2 linked regions of the Lytechinus pictus genome follow. The protein of the gene in region 2 purifies or fractionates together with the protein of the main gene of each other region. This does not show direct contact. Links are inferred from orthologs where the notes say so. Each region holds a gene or a part of one and is shown on either strand. Other genes may lie near its edges.

The links.
Region 1: the proteins of tetratricopeptide repeat protein 4-like (region 2) and protein HGH1 homolog purify together in Homo sapiens (co-immunoprecipitation; 4 studies listed by BioGRID and IntAct, counting the BioPlex papers as one, with this or other methods). This does not show direct contact. The link is inferred for Lytechinus pictus from reciprocal best matches to the Homo sapiens genes TTC4 and HGH1.

What each region holds. Positions count from the first base shown.
Region 1 is NC_087246.1:20,735,634-20,752,484, reverse strand, and holds protein HGH1 homolog, read right to left. Parts: upstream 8,099-16,851; 5' UTR 7,979-8,098; coding exon 7,306-7,978; intron 6,746-7,305; coding exon 6,555-6,745; intron 5,703-6,554; coding exon 5,460-5,702; 3' UTR 3,903-5,459; downstream 1-3,902. Other genes in the region: serine/threonine-protein phosphatase PGAM5, mitochondrial-like, read left to right, coding at 8,325-8,509, 9,838-10,010, 10,490-10,704, 12,020-12,153, 13,666-13,816.
Region 2 is NC_087255.1:18,774,727-18,792,000, forward strand, and holds the start of tetratricopeptide repeat protein 4-like, read left to right. Parts: upstream 1-7,780; 5' UTR 7,781-7,800; coding exon 7,801-7,891; intron 7,892-8,472; coding exon 8,473-8,634; intron 8,635-10,002; coding exon 10,003-10,148; intron 10,149-10,823; coding exon 10,824-10,880; intron 10,881-11,469; coding exon 11,470-11,556; intron 11,557-12,735; coding exon 12,736-12,953; intron 12,954-14,078; coding exon 14,079-14,169; intron 14,170-15,555; coding exon 15,556-15,638; intron 15,639-17,045; coding exon 17,046-17,130; 3' UTR 17,131-17,274.

The sequences.
Region 1 (16,851 bases), on a different chromosome or scaffold from region 2:
ATTATTGCAAATCGGAGCGGGAGTTCTTTTGAGGTTTAGAACTGAGAACGGGACATTCTATTCACCTATTTAATCATGAAAAGTATGAGTTTTGCTACAGAAATGATGCAAGCGCGAAGCACGAGCTGAAAATTTTGATCTGAAAAAATTGACAGTTTAATAGACGTTTTTAATAAAGAACATATAATAATTTTTAATAAAGAACACATAATAATTCAACAAAAGAATTATTGCAAATCGGAGCGGGGGTTCTCTTGAGGTTTAGAACTGAGAACGGGGCATTCTATTCACCTATTTAATCATGAAAAGTATGGGTTATTTGCTACAGAAATGATGCAAGCGCGAAGCACGAGCTCAAAATTTTTATATTCCAATATGAAAAGCGGACATTTTGTGAGCACGATTTTAAATTAAGAACGAGTTGTGTATCTCAATCTCGCTTGCTGATTTCTGTGTAATATTGCACTATTATTTTATTTTTGCACATGCATGCGGAATTATTGGGGGGGGGGCAAAACGATATGTTTGCCCCCCAATATTTTCATTGGTGGGGCGATCGCCCCCCCCCCCCCCTCCAGGATCGACGCCTCTGTAGGAGGTATGGATCTGGGAGTATCTTAGCCTCGTTCCCTTTGAACCGTGTATAAAAACCTAATAATGACCATCTGATACTATATTTTGGTCGTTCCTTGCCTCTGACTTTGACAATAACCTTGTTATTTAATTTCATTGTAAAGCGACAATTATTACGCGGCTCTGAATGATAACTTGACAGTTTTCTCTGTTATCACTATTATTACTATTGTTAATGTGTACTTAGTGTAATTATCATTATTTATTGTATATTTCCAGTGTATATTTTAACTCGATGGCCCCTTATAAGCTCTGCTTTCTCCGGGGTCACCACACCATCATTCGTTTTTTTGCTCTATATTCTGTTTGTACTTGTATATAATCATCTATATTGGTATGTATTTGTGCAATAATAATTGTTTGTACCTGATGATGGTTGAATAAATAAATTGAATTGAATTGTTAATTTTATTATTATTATTAATTTTGATATTATTTTTATTACTATTATTATTATCATTATCATTGTTATTATTATCATTATTATTACTATTATCATCATTATTATCATTATCATCATTATTATTATTATCATTATCATTATCTTCTTTTCATCTTTTAACTTTTATTGATCATATAATGTGTAACGTATGATCATTTCGCAGTCATTATCAAAGTTTAAATATATACAACATCAAACAATACATAGATAGTGAGGCGGGAGCACTGTTTATTTCGACACCAAAGATTATTATCATTTTAACATTATTATTGTCATTATTTGTCACATTATATAGGATTCACTCTCGCAGGTACTGTCTTCACTGTTAAAATCATTAATTTTCTCTCTTCTTTTTCACTACATCCAACCGTGGACGTGTACCTCTGCGGTCGTGAAAAATACAGTGGGACCTTTCCCAGGGGATAGCCCCACCCATGAATCTCTCTCGTGGACACGACCTGTCTAGCTGTCACCTTCACGAGTCGTTCTCCGCAGAGGATGTTGCAAGACTCTTATACAAGACCGCGTCTAATCTCTCAATGGATTAGAGCTACTGAATAATTGATGAGGTTTACTATGCTTTGTTTACCTGCGCTACAAAGCTGCAGCATGCGTTCCATTCTATATTATAGGTCTACTAATCACCTGTGTGGGACGACAATGGTAATGACAATATCTTATTTGACTTTTTAGTATTGTCCTATATCTTCAGTTAGATAGAGATAGATAGATAGATAAATTTAGTCATTTATTTATTCATTTTCATTTCCAGGTACACATTAACAATAATCAATTTAGTACATTGAAAATAATCATCATACAATATCTATAATACAATATACAAGTGAAAAAAATGAAAGAACACCAGCTAATGCCTGGGGATTATCAAAAGAAATCAAGTTTCTGTTAAAGACTCTCCTCATTAGATAAATAAATGAATAGAATGTAAAAAAAACTAATAAGCATGTTGTTAAGCCCTCACTCTAAATACAAGTTGCTTAAACTTATTTTTATTATTGTTTAAACTTTTTAAACATAGATAGATAGATAGATGGATGGATGGATGGATAGATAGATGGATGGGTGGATGGATAGATAGATAGATAGATAAATAGAATGTAAAAAAAACTAATAAGCATGCTGTTAAGCCCTAACTCTAAATACAAGTTGCTTGAACTTTTTTTTTAATTGTTTAAACCTTATAAACATAGATAGAGATAGATAGACAGATATATAGATCGATAGATAGATAGTTGGATGGATGGATAGATAGATAGATAGATAGACAGGCAGATAGATAGATAGAATGAAAGATATATAGATAGATAGAATGTAAAAAAAACTAATAAGCATGCTGTTAAGCCCTCACTCTAAATATAAGTTGCTTAAACTTTTTTTTATTATTGTTTCAACCTTATAAACATAGATAGTTAGATAGATAGATAGATGGATGGATGGATGGATAGATAGATAGAAAGATATATAGAGATCGATAGATAGATAGATGGATGGATGGATAGATAGAAAGATAGATAAATAGATAGAAAGAAAGATAGATAGAATGTTAAAAAAAAACTATTAAGCATGCTATTAAGCCCTCACTCTAAATACAAGTTGCTTGAACTTTTTTATTATTGTTTAAACCTTATAAACATAGCTAGTTAGATAGACAGATAGAAAGATCGATAGTTGGACTCCGTGGATGGATAGATAGATAGAAAGGTAGATAGAAAGACAGATAGATGGATAGATAGAGGGATTGGTGGATAGATAGGAGGATGGATGTATGGATTACTGGATGGATAAAGTTATAGATAAACCTTTCTTTTATAGATAAATAAAAAAGCTACATGTATATCCAACAAACCAATGTTATCAAAAGGAGTGTGGTTGTCGAATCTATATGAAAAGTATAGTATATTGTTGCTAATCAACTCTCTTAAAGAAACACCGCAAATTCACGAACTAAAAACGTAAAATTTAGGCATGTTGTTTAATTTTGTTTTAATTGTGGAGAAAGGCAGACTAACTAGATGTATAGATAAATCGATGAATACGGATAGAGGAAAACTAATAATAGATGAATTAAATAATCTCATTTTTATTTACGAATTTAAGCAAACACATAAATCAAATGAATAAGTTTATATATTCATAATAATGAATGACATGAATGAGTCAATGGACGAGTGAATCAAGGGGCGTTAGTCGAGAACTGATCAAATTTAATACAGTGTGTGAGAGCTGAGGGAACACATCTTTAAATCGGCTGGATAATAGCTGCATGTTTATTACGATCGATGTGTATATAATGTTACCATGCATGCATTCTTCTTTATTTCTTTAATTAGTTCTGCGAACCATGGACCTATATGTGCGAACTAACTTCTCCAATTTAGCGGTCGGATGAGGGTCATGCCAAATATGGGTCTTATGAGGGCGCAAACCTATTAGGAGCTTTGCTCCAGATGAAGGAAATAATGACATATGTACCCTCTCATTCTGTCTCTCACCCCCTCTCCCTCTGTCACCCCTTCTCCCTCTCTCTTCATTCTATCATCTTCTAATTTGTTTTCTTTTCACCTGTAAACACACAATCATACATAATTATTAAGGTGTCATGACGTTTTTTCGTAACACGTTCCCACAAGTTACTTTCTCGTTCCCCCGACTAAAATTGGGAACAAGTGAGGTTATCGGCCCAAGTTGAGGTAACGAGTCAATGAAAAAACGCCAAGTCAAGTTAGGGGCTCTAAACATTCAACCATGTTCCTTGACAACAATCCAAACATTCATACAAGCTATATCTTTCTTTTAATTTAAAAAAAAAAAAAATTGCCACTTTCTGCTTTATTTTCTTCTCTATTTTCTGGTCATACCAATTTTACCATTTCATTTCCAAATAAATTTAATAGATATAGGTAGAAGATATTCCTCAAATTGAGCTAATAGGCAATGGTATATAAGAAGTATTATTATAACATGGGAAACAATAATCATATGACAGCATTTCCGTAATTTTATTACATAATTTGTATTTCTTTTAAATAAAAGAGAGATTACAGCATACAATTATTGCTAGAAGATTATTTGATCTAGCTCAAATGGATTTGAACAATTCATAAGTGTAAACATAGGATTTGTAATCTGAACAATCACATTGATACAATAACATAATTTTGAATAACATACATTATTCTGAATAAAGGTTGTGAGACAGATATGTTAAAATATGAAGATATCTAGAAATGAACAGAATTCAGACATGTCAGCTACTGATTTCAGAAAAACAACTTTGCTACAAGGAGTGTACCAAGGACGTTGCTACCAGGAGGGGACAGTGGGTAGAACCCCCCCCCCCCCCCCATGATTTTTTAAGTCATGAAGAAAAAAAAAGGGAGGGAAATTTGATTAAAAATTGGGTAGAAAGGAAAGAAGAGAGTACAAACAAGAGAGGACTTGGCCATGCAACTGAGAAACATTGCATTATTCAAGAGGGAAAAATTACATCAACTTAAGGTAATCTTCGATCTTAGATCATGATCTGAACATTCAGTATCCCATAAACATAAGAATTTGAGAATGTATTCATTCTATGTGTAGCATCCATACAGTGAACATGCTGAAATCAAGTTGTTTATAGCAGTAATTTAGAAAACAGAATTACATTAATGATGATTTAGTGAAAATCCACTGAGGAAAGTTATGAGCTTTTGAATTATAATTTCATTAGCAGTTCTTTGCTATGATATTGATTCCATAAAATCCTTAAAAAAGAAATTATATACTTGTGCATTCAATATCATCATACATTATATCACATGTGCTTCAATGAGATGAATATTCTGTTATCAATCATTAAAAAATGTAAATATATGGAATGTATACATGAATATGGGGCACCTGCCTTCAAGTGACCTCACAAAATCTAAAATCTAAAAACTTTATTTAAGTATGATGGATTCTCTTGAAACCTTTGTTAATATGTTTCTCTTTATTTTTTTTTTTCATTCATTAAAAAAGCTTTTTGTTCTGGTGAACTTCCCCTTCATCAAATTATAATCCCTGGGGGCCATTTCATAAAGCTGTTCGTAAGTTAAGAGCAACTTTAAGAACAACTGGTGAACCCTTCTTACACGCTAAACCATCATCAATTCAATATACCATTTACCACAAGAAAGGATCACCAGTCGTTCTTAAAGTCGCTCTTAACTTACGAACAGCTTTATGAAACACCCACCTGGCATCTTATTAACAAATTCATTCCTTTCATAATCCTCATTTGCTTAGATCTTTAATCCTTTATCAAAAGACACATCTGAACATATGACACAGACTATAAATAATTAAAAACTAATGCCACCCTAAGTTAAAAAATCAAATGTTAATCTTTCTGCTGGTCCTCGACCTCCTTCTTTTGATCTAGTTTTACTTTGATCTCCTCCGGTATCTCCACATCCCTAAGATTCTCCATTCCTGGTAGCGGTTCATCCATGATGAGGACATCAATCACCTGATGACACAGACTCTCAACTTTCTCATCCTTCTCCCACTGATGATACTCCCTCAGGATCACATATGTCCTTTTTTCCTTCACGATCCGCCGACCCTCCTTTGAGGCACAGAGCTGAAAGAAATGACGACAAACTTTTAATAATGAATTTTGTGTTAACCAAGACTTGATGTATTTTCATTCTACATGAAAGGAGATGAAAAATATCCATAGACTTAAATCATATACTGTACTGCGGAATAAACTGCCTAATAATCTGAGGGCCATCACATGTACTTCCACCTTTCTCAAATCTTTAAAAACGGACTTGTTCTCACGTTAGATTATTTTGTTTAGGAAAGGTATGTTACAATGTTTTGTTAATCTTTCATTTAGTATTTATGTATTTTATTTCAAGTATACCTGTATTAGACTTACTTACCTCTTTTGTAAAGCGCACAGAGATTCTGTCGAATATTATGCGCTATATAAGCATCTATTATTATAATTATTTATTTGAACAACTAATTTCTGAAGTAACCCGTTACATATAATGTGTAACTCAAAATTGAAAATATCAAATATGAACTTGTATTTCTCACTGAAATTGTATACTCTATTGAAGACATTCAAGAGTCATCACTGGACTATCTAGTTTCATCAGGAAGAATAATAAACAAATTATCAATTACTATGATATTCTATATATAAAATCATATATTTCATGCATTTAATGACTATGGAAGCTGTATCCATCCATCATTAGATAGGTACTATTGGCGGGCCTAATCTTTTTTCCATCATTAGAATTATCGACTTATTTTAAGGAAAAGGGGTCATTTTTTCAGTAATAGTCTACATACATTCTTAACAATTTTTATAGCAAGGGGTTACAGTTTTCTTTCAATTTCAACACTATCTGAATATTTTTAGCACAAAAAAGAAGAAATCTAGAAGTTCAAAAAAAGAAAAATGAAAAATACTAACTTGATAAATTGCTTCCAAGAGCATAGCACGAATATCAGGATCATCCTCCCTCTTCTTTGTCTCCTCAAGATACTGAAGATCATCTGGTAATCCTTCCATATCCTCCTCACTCAGCTCTTCAGGACCAGCTAATGGTAGCAAGAGATGGGGCAAGATATCCACATCATCTCCTAACAACCATTCATGAGATGCTAAGTAATAGTTGAAGGGATAAAAAATGGTTTGAAAACAGATTAATTCAGAAAATATACTTGGCTCATATATCAAATGGAAATGCTGGCAAATGTAAGGATAAGGATTAAAAAATTATTATAAATGTATGTACACAATATTTATATATTTACAATTATACAAAAACATATGAATAAGTATCTATTTGTGCATCCATGTCTATAAAATTCTCTCTCAGAAAGAAGAATTTGTGAATTTATCCAAGAATGTAATACTTGATTTTTCACTTCATTATCGATACAAAAAATAGAAAATAACAGATCATTGTACTTCTATAACGTTCTAAGAGAAAGCGTTAAGTGACAAGTGTCATCACCTAAAATAATATGCATACATGGAAAACTTATATGAGCCTAAAACCTAAATTTTGCCATTTAGAATCACGATAGAGGTCATTTCAAACTTCCACTTCATAGATGAACAAAGACGTGACTAAATGCGAATAACATGACTGCTGACAAGGACAAGTAATAAATAAACTTTTCTGAAGATTTTTTTCCCCCTTAATTCCAATCATTACCAGTTTCAAAACAGCAGTTCCTCAATGCTGTTGCTACTCCTCTTCTCCTGGCCATTGATAATTTATACTGAGTAAATGGAAGTAACCTCTGTACAATGCATCGCTCTCTGTTTAAGATATATTCTCTTGCTTCGGTAAGCTGAGTTAGGTTGGCTAATAAAGGTCCAACATAGTCAAGACTCGAGTTCTTCTTATTGTAACCTTCTTTACAAAACGCTTCCACAAGTTTGTTCATTCCAACAGCAGAACTTTCATCATCATCATGTTGAAGAATTTTTAAGACCCGTTCTGCTCCAGCTCTGTTTCGAGTTAAGTTGCTAAGAATCATGCAAGCTTGCTTGGCAAAAGGACTCGAAGGATTGATGATCGTCTGCAGCAAATGGGATATGTACGACAGATCAAGGGCAAGTTTTTCTGCAAAGCTATCTTCCGATGACAAATTGACCACAATATGATAAGCCTGCTCTTGGTGGGATTCGTGCACAGCATCCGAACAGATAAGCTCCCCCACAGTTTCGGCTACGGGCAAGAGCTGTGTCCCGATGGTGAGTCGCCCCTCTTTGCTTGCAGTCGTACCAGTCACATGCGCGAGTGCCGTGTCCCTGACATCGGGTCTAGTTGTCACTGATAGGAACTGAATCAGTTCTTCAATAACTGAGGCATCTGCCATCATCAATATGAAGGGGAAATATCATAAATATGAGAGAGAAATTCATTAGAAGCTGAAACTAGTTATTCCATGTAAAGCAGCGCAGCAGAGCAGAACTCGCCTATAGCTAAATAGGCTTCTCTCGCGCTCGCAGGAGTTTTATTTTGTTGACCTTTTTCAGCACGTAGATATGTAGGCTTATGTCACTAAAAACGACTGGTGGGAAATAGTCTACTCATTAAAAAGCATTCCACTTCCGGTAGCGTGACAACCTAGACAGAGACGGAAAATCTTCCATTTAATTTGATTTTATTGGTAAATTGTTTGATTGAGCAGATTCTGAAATCATTTTCTGCACCGGATTGAAATAATGCCATCGTTTAATCATGGTTTTAGAGCCGCGAAGCTCTTAATTGGAGTTTCAAGTGGGGTTGCGTTTGGAGCAGCTGCAATGAAATATTCCCAGCGAGAGCGAGATGGATTCCTCCCCACAGCTCTGGCGGCGTGGACTACCAATCACAACCCAAGTGTCAGATGGGATTCCAACTGGGACAAGTTAGTTTTGTGTTCTATTCTGAATTTTTGTGGGGAGCTTAACCGAATATAAAGTTCATTTACAAGTTCCTTCTCCTTACTCTAGAATCCAGAGGTAGAATATTCATGAATAAATTTCAAATTAAGTTAAATTTGAAAAATCATTTCTCTGAGACTTGAGTGATACTATTACTAATACTAACTAGCAAAACGTTTATTCTAAACTTAGTTAATTATAAAGTTTGAGAAATTGAGGAGGAGTTATTGAAAGAAACTGAGAAATAAAGCAGTGGCAAAAATAGTCATTTCTGACTGGTTACCAGCCAAACCAAACAAACTAGGAAGAGAAGAAGGGTTAGAAGGGCTTTGTGTCTATCAACCAAAATTTTACTGTTAATAATAATATCTAGAAAAAAAGAGAAACTATGATTTTATTGATCTTGTTTTCTAATGAAAAGGAAAGGTTTGTGCCCTATTTTGTACTTTCCACTAATGGAAGGCCCTTCCAAAATATGCTCAAAATTGTAGTTTTCAAGCTCCCTTGTGCAATATTTCTCAAGTCTCAAGATTACATGTATATTGAAAAGCGGATCACAAACAAATGGAGTTCATAATCATAGAATCGATAGTGAACACACAAAAAATAAGAGTGTTTTGTATGTTGCATAGACTAAATGCAGACAGGGTGGTTGCAGACTTCAAATGTGTTGGGCTAGAGGCATTCTGCTCTGCAAGAAAAATGTGTTCTGAAAATCCTTCACAAAGACAAACTTAAATTACATTATATGAAGTTTAACTTTGATATTTAAAGCTTGGAAGTTCAATTGTAAATGACCATTATACCTGATGATTTCTTTGAATTGTCAGTTGGCCTTGTCCCAGCCCCTGATTATGCGGGGATGGCCAGGACTGATATTCACTTATTAAGCTAGACTTTGCATGCATGCTTTTTATCTGGATTCTGAGTATGGCGATTTTTATTTGTAGGGTGATTGCAAGTGCAGGCTCTCGGGGCTTTTCATCTGCATCAATTGACTGGGCTCTGTTGTTCAGTTGACTGGGACTATTATGATCTTCACCAAATTTCTGACTTTGCCAGGAACATGCCTAAAAAATAAATATTTTTTGTGCACAAGTTAATTCCAAGGCAGGCCCTTTACTTAACTTTATAAACCAATTCTGTATTGCTAGACCCTATGATGTTTCTGAATCATTGAATAGGCAATTTCAATATTGTCATTTCATTCACTGTAAATGTAGAAAAGGGCTTTGCTAACTTTTCCTGATACCTTATTGTTTTTCCAAGCAAAAACTACAATGATTAATTTCAAGAATATCCTTATTGTCAGGAGAGACCCACAAAGCTTGATAGATCCATCCAGAACTGAGGTTGACTCTAAGGATCCAACAGCCAGCCTCTCTGGAGCAAAACCAACAGCAACCAGGCATCTGATCCTCATCAGACACGGACAGTACAACACTGATGGGATCACTGATGATGTCAGGATACTCACTGCACTGGGTAGGTACTTCCTGCTTCCTAGAATTATTCTGCTCGAGTTAGAAGTACAAAGTGGAATATGACAACAAGGCGTCACATTTTTTTATTTCATTTGAAAAATATAAAAGCAAGACTCTGATCCTGCACTGCCTCAAGTACCTTTATTTTTTATTTATTTACTTTATTATTAATTTGTTTGTTTATTTTTTATGATTAAGAATAATAATACACTAAGGCAGAGTGGATTTGGCACATTACAAACCCCATCTATTATTATTTATTACTGTACATTCATTCAACCAAAGATTAATGTAACAGATTGATAAAGATTAAGTGTCAATGATCCTTATTTCTTGAATTTCAATAATTGTTACACTGAAAGTCTAAACCTTTGAAAGTTTGCACAATGACAAGTGCGTTCTAAATTTGCAGGATTAGGATTTTAGTAATGGTATATCAACTTTTTGCAATAAATATTTAAACGTTATGAAATATTTTAGGACGGGAGCAAGCCGAAATGACAGGAAAACGACTGAAGGCTCTGAACCATCCCTATACCACCATCATCAACTCTACCATGGCCAGAGCTATAGAGACGGCAAACATTGTCTGTCAACAACTACCAGATGTACCTCGTGAATCATGTGAGCTCCTGAGAGAGGGTGCACCAATACCCCCTGAACCACCAGTGGGTCATTGGAAACCGGAAGTCAAGGTGAGATCATTATTGTGTTGATAAATCATTTTGTCTTTTATATGTATTTTATGTAATTATTAGTTTTAGTTTTTTTTCCCGTTAGATAACATCAATGAGCATTTGATGTTTCAGATGCTATACTGAATAGAATGAAGATAGGAATGAGAACCTCTTTAGAAAAAAGTGTTTTATTGTAATGAATGAAATATACCATTAGGTATTTTGAATTAATGAAATACAGGTAAGTTTGCCTATCATTAAAGTTGAATCGCTTAGGATGAAAGAAATTTGTATGACTCGGGCAATGATTTTGTGAGGTAATTGCTTTGCACAATCTAGCTTTAAGTGACTCATGCAGACTTAAATGGACGGCTATATACATATACTTGCATGAAAAATAACATGAACTGATGGCATCACCCGCTTACTACATGTAGGCCTATAGGCCTATCTTTTGTGATTTATGATATGAAACATGAAATACTTTAGTTTTCTCCTCATGATCATGAGAAGCAAAGTTATATTTCAACATCTACATGTGGAATCAGTATTGTTGTAACCTATTGTCTCTTTATTGTCAAATCTTAAAAAAAAGTGAAAAATTGTATAATTCCAATACAATATGAAATAAAAAATGGCATCATTAACTCTTTCATTGCATATCATTGTGTTGTGCATATAATTGTTTTGTGAAAAATAAACAGAATTTTAGGATATCATAACTTTTGTATTTTACATTTGATTTCGATGAAATTTCCACTGTCATGCTTGTTTTGATTTTCTCTCCTTATTTCATTTTTTTTTTGGGAGGGGGTGGACTTGCCCTTTGATAACTGGATGCCTGTTCTTTTTAATGGAAGTTAGTTGCTAGAGGCATTATTTTCCTATTGATTATGTTTTTTCCTAGTAGAGATCTTCATCACAGAAAACTTGACTGTTGTTCATTACTCTAATTTCTGTGCTAAAACATGTTATATTTCTGTATCTGGTTTGTTGTTCATGTTTTGGCTTTCCTGTTTGCGCCTTAGTCTTATAGATTTAGAGAGCTCTAGAGAGAGAGAGTGTGTGTGTGTGTGTGTGTGTGAGAGAGAGAGAGAGGGAGAGAGAAGGAGATAAATCAAGAAAGAGAGGGAGATAGGGACGGGGAGGGATAGAATGAGCAAGGAAGTGGGAGAGAGAGTTGAAATTTGGGGAGAAAGGAATAAATGAGATTGTCTGTACTTCTGTAAACTGCAATGTGTTCTTTTTGTTGCTAACACTTTCTATCTGTCTTATCTGTTTCCTTTAACATTCCCTTGCCTCTTGCTGACAACCTTGTCTTGGCATTCTCTAGCAGTTCTATGAGGATGGAGCTCGGATCGAGGCTGCATTCAGGAAATACTTCCACCGAGCTGACCCTGAACAGACGAAGGATAGCTTTGAGGTCATTGTATGCCATGCCAACGTCATTAGATACTTTGTATGCAGGTAACTGGTCTGTTATGATCCTATTTTTGACATGTCAAGCCCAACACACACTCAACGACCTGGGGACCCGTTTCATAAAGCTGTTTGTAAGTTAAGAATACTGGTGATTCTTTCTTGTGGTAAGTGATACTCACCATTGAATGTCCATTGGTGATTACAGTATTTAGCGCATAAGAAAGGTTTACCAGTTATTCTTAAAGTCGATTACTCTTAACTTACAAACAGCTTTATGAATGACCCACCTGTTTGTTATTACGTTTTAACAAAATTGTTATAATTATGTTTATTTACACTCCAACTTAAAAATTCTTAAAGATCAAAGTTTCGAATAGTGGAATGCATGATTAAAGATAAATGCCAGTTGTGGTAATGATCTCAAAATGAGCTTGTACAGAATCCAATTAAATGACCACCAAAGTGTCTGTATAAATAAAAAACATGTGCCAAATGATTCTTGAAGAAATTGTGTAATTGCTGAGAAATTAGCAAATAAGCACGGGATTCGGGCCAAGCGTCGGGCCGACATTCTAAGCAGTAATAATACGCTGTCCCATGTGCGCTTATCTGTGTTGGTGACCTTCAGTGTGGACATTTTTCAGCGGAGATTTCAAGATTTCACAAAGTTCAGTTTATGTAACTGTCCCAGATCGAGATCCTCGATGATATAGTGACAATTAAGCCTGGTTTTACAGACTTTCTCGTGAAATCAGTGTTTACTGCAACTACTTTCATTTATCTTTAGTCAATATTCCAGTCTTATTATAAACCTCCCTGTATGAATGTACATGCAAAATCAATTCCTAATCAAAGTGACGGCATAGAAATCTTGCCATCAGCTATGATTTTAAGCTGATTTGGATTTTACCACAAGGCTTGCAGTAAAGCAGAATTTTATATTAGTATTCATGGCATTCCTTCGAACTTCAAATAAACTTGTCTTACTTTTTTAAAGTTTATAATTGTTAAAGAACTTGGTCGCTTTCTGATAGTACAGAGCGCAACGAGTATGCTTCTATGTTGCCCTATATTTACATGATATAAGTGTTTAATGAATTCCATTATTTTGATGTTTTTGTAGTCTTGAATTTTACCTTTGAATAAATTGTGTTAACCCAATGAAAAGCTTAAATACATAAAGATGTGTGAGAGTCTTAATTGCAATTACAAATGTAATCCTTTTTAATACTATATGGTAAGACAATAACCTTTCAATTGAATATAATTTGATTACTTGCATGCCTGTTAACAATATTTCAGGAATTAGATTTTAGATAAGTTCACTCTGTTTTGAGATCATCTTGCAAGATAAATTAATCTTTAAATATCGTGGATGGCTTGAACAAAATAAATCATGTTAACATTTCAGTATGAAATGCATTGTACTTGATTATTCAGGCTCTTCATTATGTTAATTTAATGACTGTTTCCATAGTATTTTGTTAAAGCAAACTATAGACGATTGATTAACAAAGTAATTGAGCTATTTTTCCCCTTTTCTTTCACACATTGCAGAGCGATGCAGTTTCCGCCCGAGGCTTGGCTTCGTATGAGTTTGTATCATGGTAGTATAACATGGCTTTCACTGCGTCCCAGTGGGCGTGTCTCACTTAGAACGTTAGGTGATGTAGGTTTCATGCCAGCTAATAAGGTGTCTGTTGCATAACTATCATCCTTGCCAGGCCAACCAGTCTTTCAGGAAGATATCTAGTTTTTAAAGCTCTATCCCAGTTTGGTTGGATCTAACAATGTGAGGTACTGTACTGTAAATGCAAAGCCACCGTGTTTTTTCTTGTGATGAATATGAAACAATGAAATTCAACATACATTCAATATTTTGTCCTTGTTTGGGGGGAAAAAACATATTTCTTGGGCCCCTAACACACAGGTTAGTAATTGATTGTACTTAAGTCATGACAATCAGTCTTACGATCATTCATGAAGCCTTGTGTTGCTGACTTCTGCTGGTTCTGAATTGAACTACCTTTAAAGCCAAGTCATTGAGTTGATTTGAACAAAATAGAGAAAAATCAGTTACGAATATTTTGCAATTTGTTACATTGTACATGTGCTTCTTTTCAAAGCAGAAATAGTTATAATTTGATATTCATTGAATTGCCAATGTGTTGATAAGCTTTATTTGAACTGCTCCTAAATTTGAAACATCACTCTGCATTAAAGGAGAATGAAACCCTTGAAACCAGCTGAATCCATATCAAAGAGAAAAATCAAAGAAACATATTGTTGAAAGTTTGAGGAAGATTGAATGAATAATAAGAAAGTTATGAGCATTTGAATGTCGAGATCACTAATGCCATGTAGATCCTCCCATTGGCAATGCGACCAAGATCTGTGATGTCACACACGTACAACTCCCTCATTACTTTAGTACTTATTTCACTTATATTCTCACTTTTATAGAGTCTATCACAAGGTGAGGTGTTCTCTTTATGAGAGGACAAGTACAGAGGTTTCACAACATTATATCATTGATGAATCGTTTGTCATATGATTAGAATGAGCAAAAAGATATGTTTTGGGGTATATTTTCAGTGTCCAAAAGGGGAGAGTTGTTCATCTGTGACATCATAGATCTTGGTCGCATTGCCAATGGGAGGATCTCCATAACATTAGTGATCTCGACATTCAAATGCTCATAACTCTTCTATTGCTAGTCCTATTTCACTCAGACTTTTGTTGATCTTATTCTTTGATTTTTCTGCTTTCACAAAAGCTAACTTGCTCCAAGAGTTTCATTCTCCTTTAAAAACGGCTTCCATTCCTCGCAATCCGGATTAATGCTTTGTAAAGGAGATGCTGCGGCTGTATTCATGAGATAAACCCTTGTCGATTATGGAATGACTGTTCCTAATTTTCACCAACTCATTCTCCCTAGGTAGATCATTTAATCCTGTAATGTAAAAAGTGGGGGGAAATGATTTACAAAAATATGAGGAGAAAGAGTATTGGTATTAAATGAATGATAATTTTGGTACAACATAATTGCAAAAAGGGAGATGAAATCAGAAATCTAGCTTTCTATGAATGTAGTCTGAAATTCTTGCTTAGTTTGGATTTAAACTTGAGTTGATTTTTGAGAGTCATGAGTCATGGAGTAAAGCAAAATATATTGAAAGCCAAAACTGTCAATGGAGATTAGATTTAATTTTACTTGCAAAGAGAATGCTCATTTAGATGTTATTTGTTTCCTACTTATTTTTCATTTTTCTTGTATCTTATGTGTACAAGCACTTCATGCAATTTCGTACTGTTGTAGCATTTACTTATTTTTTATATTTTAATATAATAAACAATTTTTTCATCAAGACTATGCTGACTTAAATGCTATTTTTCCTATTGGTCTAGTAGGAATACAGTTGTGAATGTGTTTCAAAGAATATTCAGTAAGTTTCCGAAATACCAAATGTGTTTCCCTGATTTATTGCATATTAAAATAATGATCAGAAATGTTGAATCAAGAAACCTTTTTTTTCTTTTTTTTCTGAGAGGAAAAAATGCATATATTGATAGTGATGTTAATAAATGAAATGTACAAGATAATTAACTGTTTACCCTTGATAGGAATAAAATTTTTAATATTGTGTCATTTCTGTGTGTGTTTGTTAGAATGTGAACTAGAAAAGCATTGTTTCCATTGTATTCAGAAATTGATGATAATATTAATGCAACTAGAGTGTCCGTACCTACTCTGCAAACTTACCTTTATAATTTCCGTGTACTGTATGTGTCTAATAATGCATATGTTTACTTCAAAATAGAATTTAGTAGTGATGGAAATATTACTGGAGAACATTTATGTTGAATTACCATGATATGTATAATGTAGAGTTGATTTATTTGTATATGGTTCTGTTTAAATGGATTGCTAATAAGTGGTATATTTGTAAACATTCAAAGCATTATATTTTTTTTTCATAAAAGTAATGTGAACTAGAGATACTTTATTTTAAAAGGTTAGCCTGCGGGAATTTATAATAGTGGGGCCCATTTGATGGACTGACAAATGAAATGACCACCAATGTTTTACATATTTTTAAATATTGTGCATAGTCCCAGGCCCGCTTCATAAAACTTGTTACAATAACAAATTTGCAACAACAGTTTAAAGCTACTGAAATCATTCTATTAGATTGGTTTATAGTAAACTTGTTACAGAAATTGTACATTAGGTATTATAACAACTCTTTATGAAATAGAATACAGGAAAAACTGTTCATTTAATGTTAGATATATTGATATTATGAATGCGTGCCAAACTGTATTTTGTACCATTATAGATTTTTATAAATAAATCATTAATATCTGTTTTAAGTGCATAAACCTGGGGCTGTTTTTATAAGCTGTTTGTACCCTGAGTTATGCATGACTTCACGCATGACAAGTGACGTTCTTGTGCAAATATTTCAGATTTTGATATAATTGGAGCGAACTTTCAATAATTATCTTGAAATCTTGACAAATTTTAAAACTTTGCATTCAAATGCTTGTTAGTGGAAGCATTGTGGTCTGGTGGTTATGACTCTTGTCTTTCTATCTGAGGGACGTGGGTTTGATCCCAGCCATGGCTTGTTTTCCTTCAGCAAGAAATTTACCCACGTTGTGCTACACTTAACCCAGGTGAGGTGAATGGGTACCCGGTAAGAAGAAATTTTCTTGAATAGTTAAGCACCTACATGTATA
Region 2 (17,274 bases):
CAGGAAAACTTGGATACATAGATACTTGGATAAGAACATCAAGGAGTTTTTGATACTCTGGAACATGGAAAACACATGAAAAAGTGCATGATACTAACTGTACTTTTAGAACGAAGCATCACACACCCTAATTACCTTATTTTCAGTTATTATCATTGACATCATTTTTAATCTGTATTTTTCTTGAGAGAAAGAGATAGAAAAGGCTACCGGTACTTTAATCAGTAGATAGTTAAAGTTGGCTGCTCTCTTTATAATTGTAACGAGACATATATCACTTCCCTAAGCCCATATGATTACAATTTGACCAATTAATCTTAATCCCTTTTAGGATTGATTTTATTTAATTAAGTTGATTTCAGTCAACAAAATCCAAATAAACTATTTGGATTATTATAGATTTTTCAGTCAAAAGAAGGCTAGTATAATAACATGTACAAATATGCAGCTTAAAGGTCAAGTCTACCCAGAAAATCATTGATTTGAATCATTAGAGAAATAAGAAACAAGCCAATTTTATCAAGAAATGGATGTGTAATAATAAAGTTATGACATTTTGAAGTTTTTTGCTTATATTTCGCAAAACAATTACAATCATGTACAACTCAGTGATATGCAATAAGACAAGAGAAACAGAGAACAAACAAAATAGTTAAGTAAGGGGATAATAAGAACGATATACCACACCGAGATGTTTTGGTTATATTAAAATGACCAATCAATTTCAAAACATGTCGCATAGAGACATATTTTACATGGTTACAATTCGACAAATTAATTTCACTCCCTCCTGTTTGTGATTGCAACGCGACACATCATAGGGCCTATATCACAATCCTTTTTTAAACAAATTAATTTCATTTTCATGTCTTGTTGCAATTATCTCATTATTTATAAAGCGCTAAAAAACCAATTGTACTTACATGTATGTAAACGCTTACAGATTCGGTCATCGGATTTAAGCAATCATTTCCGCAGACAACGTATGCAAATCCTCCACTCCCTGAGAGTATCTCAGGCAGTCGCATATGAGGCGCACACAGTGCTGGACAATGTATAATGAGTAATGACATGAAGCATAAATTGGATTTGATTTTAATTAGTGGGTTGTTATGTGAATGTCTCGTTCTGATTATAAATACGAATAAGTATTCTCTAATATGACTCGTTCTATTCTTAATTTTCAACTAAAGACTGAAGTTATAATATTACAAAAATTGACATGATAATTGAATATTTTGGCCAGTTTTTGGAAATACAAATTAGAATTTGTATTAAAAAGGTCTTAATTTTTGCTTGTTCGCTTCGCACCCTCGTAGCTTTTACGATCGCTTCATATTATTTCATCATAATAAACGCTGCACATAAAAGCAACGGTTTTAAGCTATCATATTGAAAATAAAATGTGGAAGACGTTTAATCTGAAAGTGAGAATTGATTGTAAAGAACATTTATCTAAAAAGATTAATAGTGACATAAATGCATTTAAAAAAAAATTTTATTGCGTTTTTCTTTTACGTTTTTTCTTCCTTCTTTTTTTCTCTCGTTATTTCTTTCTTTATTTATTTATTTCCTTACTGACTTAATACATTACTTCATTTAATTTCTTAAATTGTCATAGACTTACACTAACAGATAAAGAATACATGGAGAAAAAGAAAGAGTATAAAAACAGAGAGAAACACAGACAGAGAGAGAGCGAGAGAATGAAAGGGGAAAAATGAGACAAAAAAAAACCAGTGAGAATGTATAACTAAGTGGCCAAACTTCTTTCACAAAGTTTGATGCGACTGCTTGTAACCATGAAGTGTGCAACATATAAAAATTAAAATAAATATTTGCAAATGAACTTAATTGTAGAGGCCTTCTCAATTACGATTGTTTCATATTATTTCATTATAATATACGCTGCACATAAAAGCAATGGTTTCAAGCTATCACATTGAAAATAAATCTTGAAAGGGGTTTAAAATGAAAAGTAAGAATTGATTGTAAGAACATTTATAAAAAAAGATTTAACAGTGACAAACTGTATCTTTTATGTTATTTTACTACGATTTCCTTTCACGTTTTTTTCCTTTCTTTCTTTTTGTTTTGTTTCTTTCTTTCGTTATTTCTTTCTTTCTTACTTTCTTTCTTTTTTCTTTCTTTCTTTCTATCTTTTTTCTGTCTTTCTTTCTTTCTTTATTTTTTTCATTCTTTTCTTATTTCTTTCTTTTCTCTTTTTATTTCTTCCTTTTTTTATCTATCTTCTTTCATTCCCTTTCTTAGGACCTCTCTTTATTTCCTCCTTTTCTCTGTCTCTTTCTGTATCTCTTCCCTAAAAATTTCAAGCTTTTCCTCTGTCTATGTCACTATTCTGTCTCCTAAGTTCATAAAGAAGAAATACAAAAAAAAAGCAATTGCAAGGTTTAGAGTGATATATCAACCAATAATGTATACGAGTTTTGAATTAAAAATTATGTACCGGTATTCTAAGTATCATGCACGTATTCTGGGGGGGGGGGGGGATTTTGTGGCCCTTGCCCCCGGGTAGGCAAAAAGGGGACGCCAAAAGGGGAAGGAGAGAGAGGAAAGAAAAGATTAGTAAAAAGGAGGAAACAAGAAGAGAAAGAGAAAGAGAAAAAAAAAGGGGGGAAAAGAGAGAAAAAAAGGGAATAGGAAAAAGAAAAAAAGGAGAAGAGGAAAAGAGAAAAAGAAAGGAAAAAGGGGAAATAAAAGAAAGAGACGGGGCGCCAAATTGATGTTCGACCTGGGGACGGGGGCACCATAATGTCATGAAAGAAAGGCACCAAATTGACCATAAACAAGAGGGCGCCAAATTGACAGGTCTGTAATAAGGGAGCTCCAGACTGACCTTAAACTTGGAGGGGGCGCCAAATTGATGTTTGACCAAGGGGGCGTCAAATTGTCCTATAAGGAGGGGGTATCAAAGTGACCTTAAACATGGGGGCACCAGGTTTATCTTCTACCCAGGGGGACCCAAATTGACCTTAAACTCTTAGGGGGCGCCAAATAGATGTTTGACATAAAGGGGGCGCCAAATTGTCCTGGAAGGAGGGGCACCTAATTGGCCTGTTACGGGGGGCGCCAAACTGGCGCCAAATTGATGTTCGAACTAGGAGGCGCAAACCAGACCTTAAACTTAAGGGGCGTCAAAGTAACTTAAACTTAGGGGGTGGGGCACCGAGTTAATAATTGACTGGGGGCGGCAAATTGTTGTGTAAGGAGGGGGCGCCAAACACCTTAAACGCAAGAGGTCACCAAGTTGATGTTCATCCTAGGGAGTGCGACAAATTCACCTTAAACTTAAAGGGGCCACCAAACTGACGATAAATATGGGGGTACCAAATTTTCCAGAAAGGAGGGGCACCAAATTCACCTGTAACGGGAGGCGCCAAACTGACCTTAAACTTTGGGGGGAAGGCAAATTGTCCTTTAAGGAGTGGGGGACAAAATGACCTTAAACATGGCGGCGCCAATCTCAGGATTCACAGGAGAGGGGGACAATATGACATTAACTTGGGTAGGGGGCTCAAAATTTTTGGTTGCTATTTTTTTCCTTTTTCCTCTCATTTCCAAATACATTCTTTGTTTGTTCTTATACTTAATGTCACCTTCTCATTTCTTTTGTTCCCTCTTCATTTATATTTCTTTCACCCTAGTAAACGCATATAAAGAATGAAACAGATATAGAGAGAAAAAGAGACAAAAGACAATAACAAAGAAATGAAAATTTTAATATTTGTCTTTTCTACCTCTCTCTCTCGCGCTTTAATTACTCATTTTCGTTTTAAAGTTTTTATTTACCTTAAACTGTTTGTCATTCCGTTTTCCCTTCCATTGTACATGTACCTCACTCTTTTACTTTCCTTCTATACAATTATATTTAGTTGTCTAATTCAATGATCACTTTCTACGTTTTTCTTTTCTTTCTTTGCTCACACATTCTCTGTCCCTCTCTCTCTCTTTTCTTTTTCTTTCATCATTTATACCTAATTATCCCTTCTTCTTCTACTCCTCTGTTTTTTCAATCTCTTGACATCCTATCTCTTAAATATATTCAAAACATAACAAATAAACAAAATATAAATATCTTTCATAAACAAAATACATTAAACAATTTATTGCGATAATTCTTATACACTACATTTGCAAACAATTAAAGACATAATATACATTATGATTCTACAATACATGACTGTAACATGAATCATTGTAAAAAAAAATGATAACAAGATCTTTATAAAGTACTTACAAAATATTTATAACGAATCTTCTAACTTTATTCTACATATACGTCTAACACTAAAATATAAAACATATCTATCTAATACAAATGAAAACATAAATAACGCAAATAAAAAAAGAAATATCTATGAAAATATATAGATGTAGTATCAATTTAAACTTGAACAAAAAAATATATACTTAAGAAACAAACTAACTGTAAAATCGCAAACAGATGCAAAAAGACGTCTAACACTAAAATATAAAACATATCTATCAAATACAAATGAAGACATACATAACATAATCAAAATATCAATAGAAATATATAGATATACGTATCAATTTGCACTAAAAAAGAATATATTTAAAAAAAAAGTACTGTAAAATGGCATACAGATGCAAAATGTACATGTATGACATCAATCAAAAAATAAAAAGTACTATATAACAAAAAGAATGGAAATAAATTCTAACATGACAAAAGAAATCTCCACATACAGGAAATACATGTAAATGGATGTCAAAATATCTATAAAATGTATACATTTACGTATCAATTAACACTTACAAAAATATATATCTAATGTAGAAAAAAAGTACTATAAAATGGCATACAGATGCAAAGTGTACATAATAACATCAAACAAAAATAAAAAGTACTACATAACAAAATATAATGAAACTAAATTCTACCATGACAAAAGAAATCTTCACATACAGGAAATATACAATTAAAGTCCCAATAGTCCATCATACTCCTCCTCTACAAACTTGCCAACGAGTTAAATTTTTTCATCTTCTCCATGTCCTCCTCCAACTTTCTTATACGTCCATCTTGATACGACATGTACGAAACAAGCGATCCAACAACTTCTCTCAGCCGGGACGGCGACGAACTCAGTTCCTGAATAAGAGGTAGCACTAGAGTGTTCAACTTGACTTCATTCCCATTTTCGTCATTTGCCTCCGAAGTTCATGCATCGTCTTTCTCCGAAGAAATGTCCTCGTACAGATCGTCTGTACTCATCTTTTCTCCAACATTGTTGTTCTTGTCCATCATGTACATGGGGATGTCTTCTGTAGCTCCCGGATCCGGAGTATATGTATTATCACCATTCATCTCCTTTGGCCTGTCTATTCCATTGGTTACAGGTGAAGGAATGTCCTCTCCTAGTAATTGCATAATGAAGTCATCATAATCTTCTTCAAAACTAAGTTCTGCTGCCAGTCCGGCCATTGTTCCTACAAAGTACACTTTAAGTTCCAAAAGCTAACGAAATTGAGGGTGAAAAACTATATAGGCCTAATCAATAAAACTGACCAAGTCAAGAGATGTCCACGAGCTTTGTAACGTTTATCAACTAATGACGCTAATTAAGACCACAAGCTTTTTAAACTCTTAAAACATAACAGTCCAGTACATAAAGACACGTGTGCATTGTATTCTACCGAAAGCAAGAATGAGTCTCACGCCGGTCTCACGTTCATGCCGGTCATGAACTTCAATAGATTACTTAATCACTATTCACTATATAGTACCTAAATCTTAATCCCTCCTTTAAAAAATTTGGGGTATTAATCTTACATGGTAGCCCTATAGTCTCAAAGGCATTACAGGTGGTTCTTTATCAATGAACTGAAGGAATTCTGAAGTGACATTTTAGTTTGATTAACATATATTAAATCAAATTACATGTGTTGTGCAAGCATGTCATATTTCAAAATTTCCAATTGTTGAAAATAAGCGTATCTTTAAATGTCATAACTTTCTTATTTTATATAAATCACTTAAAAATACATCAATATCGAACAAGTCACTCTATAGCTTTACTTTATTTTGGTGAAACAATTATACGTGGTTCTTCATATGCAAAACGCAAGCTGATGATGTCACATCCCCACATTCCTTTTTCTTATGTTATTTCATGAAATCTTAAATGTTTTTTGTTTCGTACATGTGTAAATGATGTGTCTCCATTATAATGAAATACGTTGCAGCAATAAATAACTAATGCACTTAATCACTTGTCAATCCAATAGGTTTGGTTCTTGGAATGAAATTTTTTAACTTAAACTTAATTTCATATAATAAAATACAAAAGAACAAGTGGGGATGTGACATCATCAGCCCACCTAATGAATAATCATGAAGACATGCCCAGAACTGTTTAACCGGAATAATGCAAATATTTAAAATTCAATAACTTCTTTATTTGTAATCTAATTTTGATCAAATTTTCAGCCTATTGCTCTGTGAATTTTACTCTATTTATTTAGATATAAATATCTTCGGCCTGGAGCATCCCTTTAAGCACTATTTAGCTCATGGGCGGAAGTCCCAGGGGGGACGTGGCCCCCCTACCCAAAATAGTAGGGTGGACACAATATCAAATGTCCCCCTACTATTTTCGGTCTTTTATGACAGAAAGAAAGAAATTGAAATAAAACATGTATTTTGTATTTTAGATGAGAATTAAGACCTTACTTTATTGGGTGATGGGTGATAACCTTTTTTTTTTTTTTTTTGCTTATCAGGGTCTTTTGTGGTGTTGTGGTGGTTACATGTTCGATTTTTTTATCCTTGGGTAATACCACATGTGTGCCTATGAGGATGAATGGGGTCAAAGGTCATCTATAGGTCAAAAGGCCAAGTTTTTGTTTAACCTGCTCTCATTTCTTTTTTTCTGCATCAATTATGTCCACACTTGGTTTGTGTGATCCTTGGGTAATACCACATGTGGTAAACTTGACAATGTGGAAATTTGTAAATTCTGTTCTGAAGATTCAATTTATTATCTGAACAAAATGAAAAGTAGGATCAGTCGTTGTAGAACATGAAAGGAGGCTAAAAGCCAGCTCAACTCTCCAAATTGTAAATAATCTTTATTCATTGTGCTGGAAATTTCATTTTGGTGGCAGGATGCAATTTAAAAAGCCTGTCTTTAGTTTTGGTAAATCCCCCAAACTGTGCACTCTTCCAATCCATTACAGTCCGACCTCTCTTATCCATTCTCCCCTTATCCGGATCTTTCTTTTATCCGGACGCATGCTTGCTGATATTTGTTTTCAATCTAGTACGTGGGGAAATGAGATTTCAATCTAAAATCAAAATTCCTACGCAAACTCACTTTGCTGTACATGTATACATTTCCCAATAGAGTCTACCTACAACCGCACTACTTTTTATGAAAATATCTTACCCAAATCACTGAAAGAACGTAGACAGGATAATTTTCCAGTAAATCAGGGCACAGAACAACCACTTTATCACGTTCTCTTTTTTTCAGGAAAAAAAAACACATGTCGTACTCCGTGATTTTTCTGTTGTTTGGTTTGTTTTTCATGAATAAATTTGCACATTTTATTCATAATAAATTTTAAAAATTAGTTTTGGAATGTCTTTTTATACTGGCTTGTAGTTTATGTGGTAAAGAATGTGTGTGTCAAATTTCGACATAATCGCATGAACAGCGGCCGAGATCACCCCCCAGTCCTCAATACATCTCAGATAGCCAAGTTTATTTTTTGTTCTGTTCATTGCAGGAATTTGATAAGATTCCACTTTTCATGAAAGAAGCTCCAGAGAATATTGAAGATTTTCCCGAGCTTCAAGCTTTCCAGCAAATCAAGTATGCCTCCGAGGAGAGTACAAAGGAAGGTGAGAAACTTTGATTATCACTGGTAACTGTTATAAGCTACTGAAATCCTTGCATCTGATTGGCTGAGAGCAAGCTTGTTCATGAAAACCACTGACAAAACTCTTCATGAAATGCTCCCCTTGTGTCCTGCTTCTCTTTTTCCTTTTATACTATTAGCTATGTAGAAGAAGTGTTGATGCTGCACAAAAATTATCTGTGATTGCATTCTAAGAAAAAAAAATCATCTTTTTTTTTTTAGCTGAACAGCTAAAATGCTGCATATTATTACAGCATACATTGGACCCTATTTCAGGGGCTCTTTTGTTTAGTTTTCCAGGCCTTAGGGGGCAAATTTATGAAGTTCTGAGTTGGTTAAAAGCAGTGAAAAATAGCTGAAACAAAGCAGCATTTGTGGTCGATAAATTGTAATACTTTTCATAATCAACAATATTTTGGTCATTTTGTGTTGATATATCAGCATCATCATAATACCATAATCAAATATTCAATTTTTTGTCTTCAAAATTGCACAATTTTGATACTATCAAAATATCACCCAGTACTATTCCACAATCTTTTCACTCTTCTAACTTATCTCTAGATAATGCGTTGACTCACAAGAATGACGGTAATCAGTGGTTTAAGAAGAAGATGTACAAACCAGCCGTTACTGCCTACACCGAAGGTCTCGATCAGAAATGTGCTGATAAAGAAATCAACGCTGTCCTCTACACAAACCGTGCTGCAGCTCATTATCATCTTGGTAGATATTTTGCTTTATTATACATACATGTAAGGTTCAGTTCTGGTCGCAGGATCTTCTGTTCCTCTATGTCCAGCTCCTGGTGATAAACAGAGACGTCTGAAGAATTGGCGCAGTCTGGGGGAGGAACCTTATAATCAAATTTTAATTCTATATTATGCCACCAAAAATCAGTCCTCTTTTCAACTTGTATTTCCACATGTCATATAACACAGCAACAATAATTTATCAATACATAACAGTAGTTGAAATACCACTGAATGAAATTAACAAAAAGCAGATGAATCACAAAAATGAATATTCAAATTGTAGACATTTGTTCATTTATGGGATTATTTTTCTTATGGATAATAATAAACAAAAAAAAGGGAAGTCAAGTGATAGTGATTTGGGTGACCATCTACTTAAGGACAAGAGCTTGAAATAGATGAAGGCCTCAAAAGTAAAGGGGAGTTGAGAGAAAACAAAGTATAGTGCAATAAAAGAGGCTTACCTCTCATTGCAAACAGTAATAGAGAGACAAAAATGATAAGTAAACAAAGAAGTGAAAAAGGAAGAGAAGTTAAGTGAATACAGAGTATGTAGATAAAGTGTAAAACACAAGATAATTTAGTACTAAATTATTAGACTTCACAATTTCCTTCAAAACCTAATAACTTATTCATCATATGTGATTTGAACACAAGTGCTGGGTAATCAGAGTTCAACTGAGAAGTGAAAATCCTCCAAACATTAACACAAATACTACAGAACAAAAAAATCTTATAAAAAAATTATATAACTCTAATTAAAACTTGATCATTTTTGGAAGGCTGGGTATATAGTTAAGTTACTGAAAAGATGATTATTGCTAGATAATTACAAGACAAATTAATCTATCAAATATATTTCTGGTAGTAGGTATGGTAAATAATATGTCTGTTTTAAGTCACGCATATCAAATACATTCACCAAAATACTGCATAAGTGAGAGTGTAAAGAAGTACCATGCAGAAATCATAAAAATAAACATCTTGTCCCGTATTCCTATATGTTTAAATTTAAAATCTGGCGTAAACTTTTGGTTTAACTATGGATAACCAATTGTGACATAGATCTCTATTAAACAGTACAGATCCAAAGTATCAGCTCTTTTGACCCATGAATCATTCATAACTGTCGGAATTAATAACTAAAGTAATTTTCTCCACATTAAAGCATGAAGATAGAACACAGAAAACTTAAGAAACATACAATGTTAACAAATTTTCAAGTTTATATAGTACAGTGTTAGACCATGGACTGTTAAAGCTGTAGTTCAGTTTTATACTTTTCCTTTATGCAAATAATTTTGATGGGTATGTACTTAAATGTGACTTTTTTCCACAGGTAATCACAGGTCTTCATTAAATGATGCCAAAGAGGCATTGAATCTTAAACCTGACCATTTAAAGGCCCTCAACAGGACCATTGACTGCTGTATGCAACTCAAAGAATACGGAGAAGCCATCCAATGGTGCGACAAGGCTCTTCAAATATCCTTTTCAACATTTTGTTAAATGGGTACCCTGTAGGAAGGAATTCCTTGAATGCTCAAGCGTCCGATCAGGATAGCCGTGCTAAAGCCGAGATAATAGTATGCAGCGCTTAGAGACAAATGTCATTTGTATTAAGCACTATATAAATGTCGCATATTATTATTATTAAAATAGTATACCCAGCTTTAGTAGCTTGTGTTATTGAAGATATGACTGTTTTAGTTGTCAGTGAATCATTGAAGTAATCATAGGTATGAATATTATATTTCTGATGACACTGTATCATGACTCGGTACTTGGTATGATTATTGTATCATAAAGTGTAAAGAATCTCTCTTTTTCATCTTATTAATATCAAGGTATAACATTTATTTTTCTGATTATACTGTATTCATAACCCATCAGTCATTGATGACAAAGTATTGAGAATAATTATGTTTTTCATACAAAGTGACAAAAATATTTTTTTTTCAGATAATCATATAAAAAATAACTTTTTTTCCCATGAAACATCCTGCAATTTGAATCACTTTTTTTCTAATGTGATTGATTAAGTGGGATGTCCAATAGGGGACATATTTTTTTCTGGTATGTGCATCTGTACATCAGAATTTAATGAACCACAAAATGGTCCAGAGTGATATGTCAGGTGATCCTTAACCAAATGAATACATCTATTCCAGTGATAAGAAAATTCAGGATCTTAGGATACAAGCATCAAAACTCAAGGTAATAGAGAATTACAACTACTTCAACTTTGACAGGATGGCAACTACCATAGAGTACCAAAGTGTGACGTCAGTTGCTGGTTCTAAACAGTCGTAGCTGATGGTCGTCTGACAAATATGTTGCAAGCAATCAAATTCAGATAGCAGCCATTTTCGCCTATGAGAAACACATGCTTTCATTCGGCGGGTTTATTTGTTAAGAAAAACCATGGCAACTGACGTCATCGCTTCGGTACTCTATAGTGATAGGCATTGGCGGCGGAAGCCAAAAATTGAAGGGGGGTCCATCTGAAATTTTGGGATGGACACAGGTAAAAAATTTGACAAGCAAAAAAAAAAAGACTTGTTAAGTTACAACCAGCCTTCTCTAAGAATGAAGAATAATTTCTTTTTCTATGATGCACATTTAACTCATTGGCTACCATTTAATTGTAGAATGACACATACTTTCCAAAGACTCCTGCCAAAGTTATTTAGGGCATAGGGCTCAAGTGTTGATTCAATGTCATTTTGTAATTGATTTGCTGATTTCCCCTTTCATTTTTGGTATCATGACAAAATGAGTTTCTCTTCATTTATTCTTTTAACAGAAATCAGCAGACAAAGAGAAGAGAAAGAAACAGCTAGAGGAGAAGAAGCAGAGGGCTGCGGAAGAGAAACTCATCGCAGCTTTGAAAGTAAGATCATAACTGCCTTTCATTTTCATAAAATGTCCTATTTCTCAGATTCCCTTATTTTTTTCTCCTGCACTCGATTAAAAACTATTCATTAAAAAAATGATCACCGAATGGTTGGCAAGTTATTATGGAACTTGGCAGAATATATGTCACTGATTCTTAAATTTTGTGCATAAGTTTCTTAATAGACATTGGTACAGATGGCAGTTTAGTGAATTTACTCCCCTTGATTGTAGAGTGATAGCATACTGTACAGTACTTTCTGACCAAGGACCTAAAACTGAATGAATGAATGAATTTATTTATTATCCAATGCAATGATAATAACAATTTACAAGTTATGAATACGTAGAAAAGCAAGGATAATAGGAACCAGAAAATAGCATGAATGCTAGTCAAGCCTGGCCCCTTCTACTTTAGGCAGATAGAAACATGTTTCTTAACTTGTTAGTTAAGAATGAACAATCGTGAGTCTACTAAATATACTCTATATTATATAAACAATGCCTACATAACAATTTTAAGAAACACTAACCGTATATACATATGAAAGGTATATAGATGATAACAAAAATACCGTATAGATGATAACAAAAATTCATTTTTCCAACAGATGTTCAACAACAGCTTTACAAATACTTGACCTTGATGGTTTCTTTCTGATTTCGATTGGTAGCTCATTCCAAGAAGTTGTGCCTACATAAGATAAACACTCCTTTCCCAAGCTTGTCCTAACCTTTGGTACATACAGATTCTCATCTTCCTTTTGCCTTGTATTATGTAGAAGCAATGAATCTTGAAGCAATGAAGAGTTATGATTGATCTAATCAATCTCAACTACAATGTATATGGAAATCCATCCATACCATAATTTTTTCTACAGGAAATGAGCACAATCTCCCTAGTAAACAAAGAGAATCACACTGAATATTAAAGAGAATGATGAATGTCTGAATAAACATATCTAGAAAATATTTTGAACAAATTTGCATTTTAGATTTAGACGTTGTTTGCCGTCCATAGTTGTGGTTGATCGGATCAATCACAACACTTGGTAAGACGAGGCTTTGATTTCACTAGAAATAGAATTGGGTATTCATGTTTGGTGCAGTTGATTATAATTCACTTATTTTCCCGTAGGAACTGACATTTTAAACATTATCCATCTTTCTTTCAAAGGTCCGGAATCTTCGCTTTGTGAGTGACCCCGTCGAGGGGCAAGACGGGGAGCCTGAAGAACAAGCCAAGGCGTTTGTAACCTCGCTGGTATCCAACGAACCCTCCGGGCGTCATATGGTCAGCCTGGACGATGAGGGCGTGCTTCAATGGCCCGTTAGGTTTCTGTATCCAGAGCATGGCCACAGCGACCTCATCTCAGCATTCAATGAAGATACAAGGTTCGAGTTTTGAACTTTCGTAGTAACAAATGTCAAAATTTTGGTGTTACTTTTCTTTCTTCATATTTTCTCTTTCCTTCTCCCCCCTGATTCTTATCTGGTATATGTTTTTTCTTTCCTTTTTTTCCATTATGTTTTTTTTTGCTGATTAGTCATCTTTGTTCCTATCAGTCTATTTACATATCTTTTCATACCTAAACGGGAAGTTCACCCTGACGAACGGTTTGTTGTAAAAAATACCAGAAAAAAAAATTGGTAAAAATATGAGGATAATCCATCAAAGATTAAGAAGATAATTAGAATTTTAAGTTTTTGATTTGTAACGTCATGAGAGTAGCTGCCCCATATGTTATGTAATATAAAATGCATAAATCTCAATTTTTTAATGGTTCATGATGACTGCATGTAAATATTTGTTACTCTCAGAAGTGGATGTGATATGATTTGTCTGTTGATATACTGAAGTTACAATTAAACCATTTTTATTTTTAATGTAAAAATTACATTTCATTGATTTTTACGGCACAATATATGTGGAAGTTGCTTGCATATCATGTCACAAATCAAAACATTGAAATTCCAAATTTTAAAAATCTATGATGGATTTTCCCCAAACCTTCACCAATATTTTGCATTATTTTTTCCGACTATTTTTACAATAGATTTTTCTTCAAGGTTGACTTCCCCGTTAATGCACACTCATGCACACATTGTACAGGACCGAGATGGAAACAAAAAAATAGTATCTTCTGGTATTATTATCCTATATATACATTTGAATGAATAAATGAAAAGAATTTTAAACATGGCGTTTGTTGCTTATATTGCTGTACATAATTTTTACTGTTATTTCTTCTTCTTCTCTTTTTCTATCTATCTCCCTCTCTCTCTCTGTCTGTCCCTCTCTTTGTTTTCTGTCTAACTTTCATTTCTTTCCATTACAGTATTTCTCTTCACTCTTCATCTATTTTTTTTCACCTCTTCCTCTTTCTATTTTTTTTTCGTATCACTTGTCTTCCCCTCCACATCCTCTCTATCTGCATGTACCCTTGGCTGGTTACTTGTTATACAGCAATAACAAATAAATTTAGGATTTTTTCTGTTTTTCTTTTCTTCTCTTGTTAGGTTTATAGACCACCTAGAGGTGATGTTTTCATCGAAGGAAGCCCCTCCTGAATGGGACCAAGAAAGAAAATACCAGGTCACTAATTTAAAGGTTAGTCATTCTTGGTCTCGGTGAAAGGTTTGTGAAGTTAGTATACTAGGGCCCCCATTGCGTAAAGGCCCGGGGGGGGGGGGGGCACTCGACCCAATATGTGGTAGGTATGTGCCACTGCCACTCAAACCGGCTCCACAACATTTGCTCCAGTGACAATTGCCCCGCTCTAAGTTTAAAATACTAAACAAATGACCAACTTCAACCCTGAGTTTAAGACTATACCCTACCCTTAACCTATCATAAAACCCTATTGCAACCCTAACCCTACATCTTAGACGAAATTAAGCCCAGAGCAATTGTCGCAGGAGCTAATGTTGTGTCAGGCTAACACCAATATGTGGTAGGTAGGTCAAAATTAGGGGGCCTTGGAACAGCTCATCATGAAAGTGGGGATCCCTGGAACTTCTTAAATGTTCCAAAAAGACAGTCCCTGGAAATAAATTTAAAGTTGATATTATGACCTGGATCTAATAAACATGAAAAGTTACAGTTTCCAGGAACTAAATTTTGATGAACACCACAAGATTTTGTTTGACTTGGGTACCAAAGTGCCCATACCATTCAAACATGTGCCAAAACTCTACACACTGGCAGCTTTACAGACAGAGCTAGAGCATTAGTGCTCCACGGAGCTCAGCTGATGGACGGTGTGTTTTTCGCACACACAGCAAAGGGCATGAGGGAAGAGGGTTGCGCGATCATCCAATCCACAGGCTAGGGATTCCGTCTACTGCAATGGTATGGGGATTCCTCTCTGTGTGGAGCGTGGCGGAAGGAAATCTCCAATGCCTCAGAACAGGTTTTCTTTGACACCCGCCCATGGATTGCAAATGGTATGCCCTGGTATGGAAAATTGAGTGTAAAAACGGCCCCGTCTTACAAAGAGTTGTGATTGATCCGATCAATCACAACTATGGACGGCCAGCAACGTCAATATCTATTATGCATGTAGTTCAAAATATTTTCTAGCTATGATGCATATTCATGCATTAATTGTTTTCTTAAAAATTCAAGCAACTTTGTGCAAATTTCCTGTAGAAAAATCTATGACACTGATGGATTTCCATAGAGTTCAGATTGATTGGATCAGTTGTAACTCTTTGTAAGACTGGCTCCAGGAGACTCCTCTGTACATACCCATTTTCCAAAATATACAAAGCAGCCCCCCCCCCCCAGGCGTATAGGTCGCTATTAACTTTACCATATAAGGGTTACTTCCATGGAATCCTTGATTTTGATTCGCTGTTGAGAAAATTTCTATACTCCCAAAAGTTTCAACTTGGGCGAAGTTACCTGTTTACGTTTTAAGTTCTTTTGAGTCATTATTCCTTTAAAATCTGAATTTGGCATCGATTAAAAAGTTTGTGTCTGTTTTTTTTGCAGGTGTATTTTGAGGATTATGACGAGAGAAAGCTTGTTGAATTGAATGCAGATCTAACCTTGAAAGCAGGATTGCAACATCCAAGGTAAATGTTAAAGTTTATATTCAGTTCTAGTAAATTCCCCCCCAAAGTCACTACTCCAGTTCATTCCTAATTTATATAATAATGATCATTATAAACACAGCATTTATTATGTGGCCATCTAACAAGTTAATTAGTCTGACATGAAGAGGGATGGGGGGAAATAAGGAATTACAGATAAAAATAATGTTTGCCTATGCATGGGTGTATGATCAAATTAAATTACCGGTAGCTTATAATATTCAACAAAAATCAGAAAAAAACAAATGTAAGATTTTAGATACTTTTAAAATACCTCAATTGATTATATGAATGTGATTGCATAAAATATAGAGGATAGGAAATACATGTGTTTAAATGGATAGACTACAATTTTACATCAAAATCTATTTTTATTGGGTACCTGATCAACATGAAGTATCTGCAGATTTTTGTCTTTTTAATAAAGCATGGGTTGGGCAGAAAATTTCAGGATATAATCTTTTTAGGTTTCTGATATCCAATTACTTTGGTTTTAGGGTATATTCTCAACAGGCCGTTAATAAAAAGAAAATCATGTATAGAGAGGGCAGTAGATACCTAATTAGACATTTGAATTTTAAAGAATAGTGATTGAAAATATTGAAATGCCGCTACATGTGTGTAAGATTGGAATCAGGAATGTAGTCGAGACCAGCCACAAGGCCGCATATTGCCGGTCTCGGCCTTGGCCCATGTTACACGTTCAAAGTCAATGGGAGAAGGTTTTCTCCAGCGGGCCTTGTGGCTCGGAAGTACCGGCCTCAATATCCCAGATTGGAATTTTAGGTGAATTTTAGTATAATTCCTATAGATCTTTTACCAAAGCTTCACATAGGCTTTAAAGATAATTGCCAGTTGTGAGTACAATTCGTAGAGAATCCAATAAAATGACCACCCAAGTGTCTGTTGGCATAAATATGTACCCAAGGATTCTGGAAGAAATTGTGTAATTGCTGAGAAATAAGCAAAACAACCATGACATTGTCCCACATTTTTTGGTGATCCTCTATGTGTTTGGTTTTCAGCTTAGATTTCATTAAATTTCATCAAGTTCAATTCAGTGCATAACTGTACCAGATCTAGATCCATGATGTAGTTACAATTAGTCTTGGTTTTACAGACTTTCTCCTGAAATCAGCATTTACTTCAATTTTTTTTCAAATGATGGTTTCTTATCTTTGGAGGGTCAAAAGCTCAGTCGGTAGAGCGGGGGATTCGGATCTCAGTGACCAGGTTTCTATTCCCACTTTGGTAAGGCATTGATCCTCATCACCAGGTCGCTCGGAAAGGAGCTTAAGCCGTCGTCACCTGGTTGCTTGCATATAAGCATTCATGCTTTCTAACCAATCTGGAAAAAAAATCACCACCACCATCTGTTCTTTTTCACAGGTATCATATAGTGGGTGGAGTTCCTACTTTCTTTGTCCTTTCGACTGCAACACCTTATCATGAACAGTTCTTAAAGAAGTACTAAAGCGAGGCATGTTTTCCCACATGAAATGCTTATTACCATGAATGTCCAGATCGATGGTAGTTTCCAACATTCCTCATCATTTTAAGAGTAACGGCACTTTCTTTGAGAAGTACTCCAAATGAGGCATGTCATGTAACATTGACA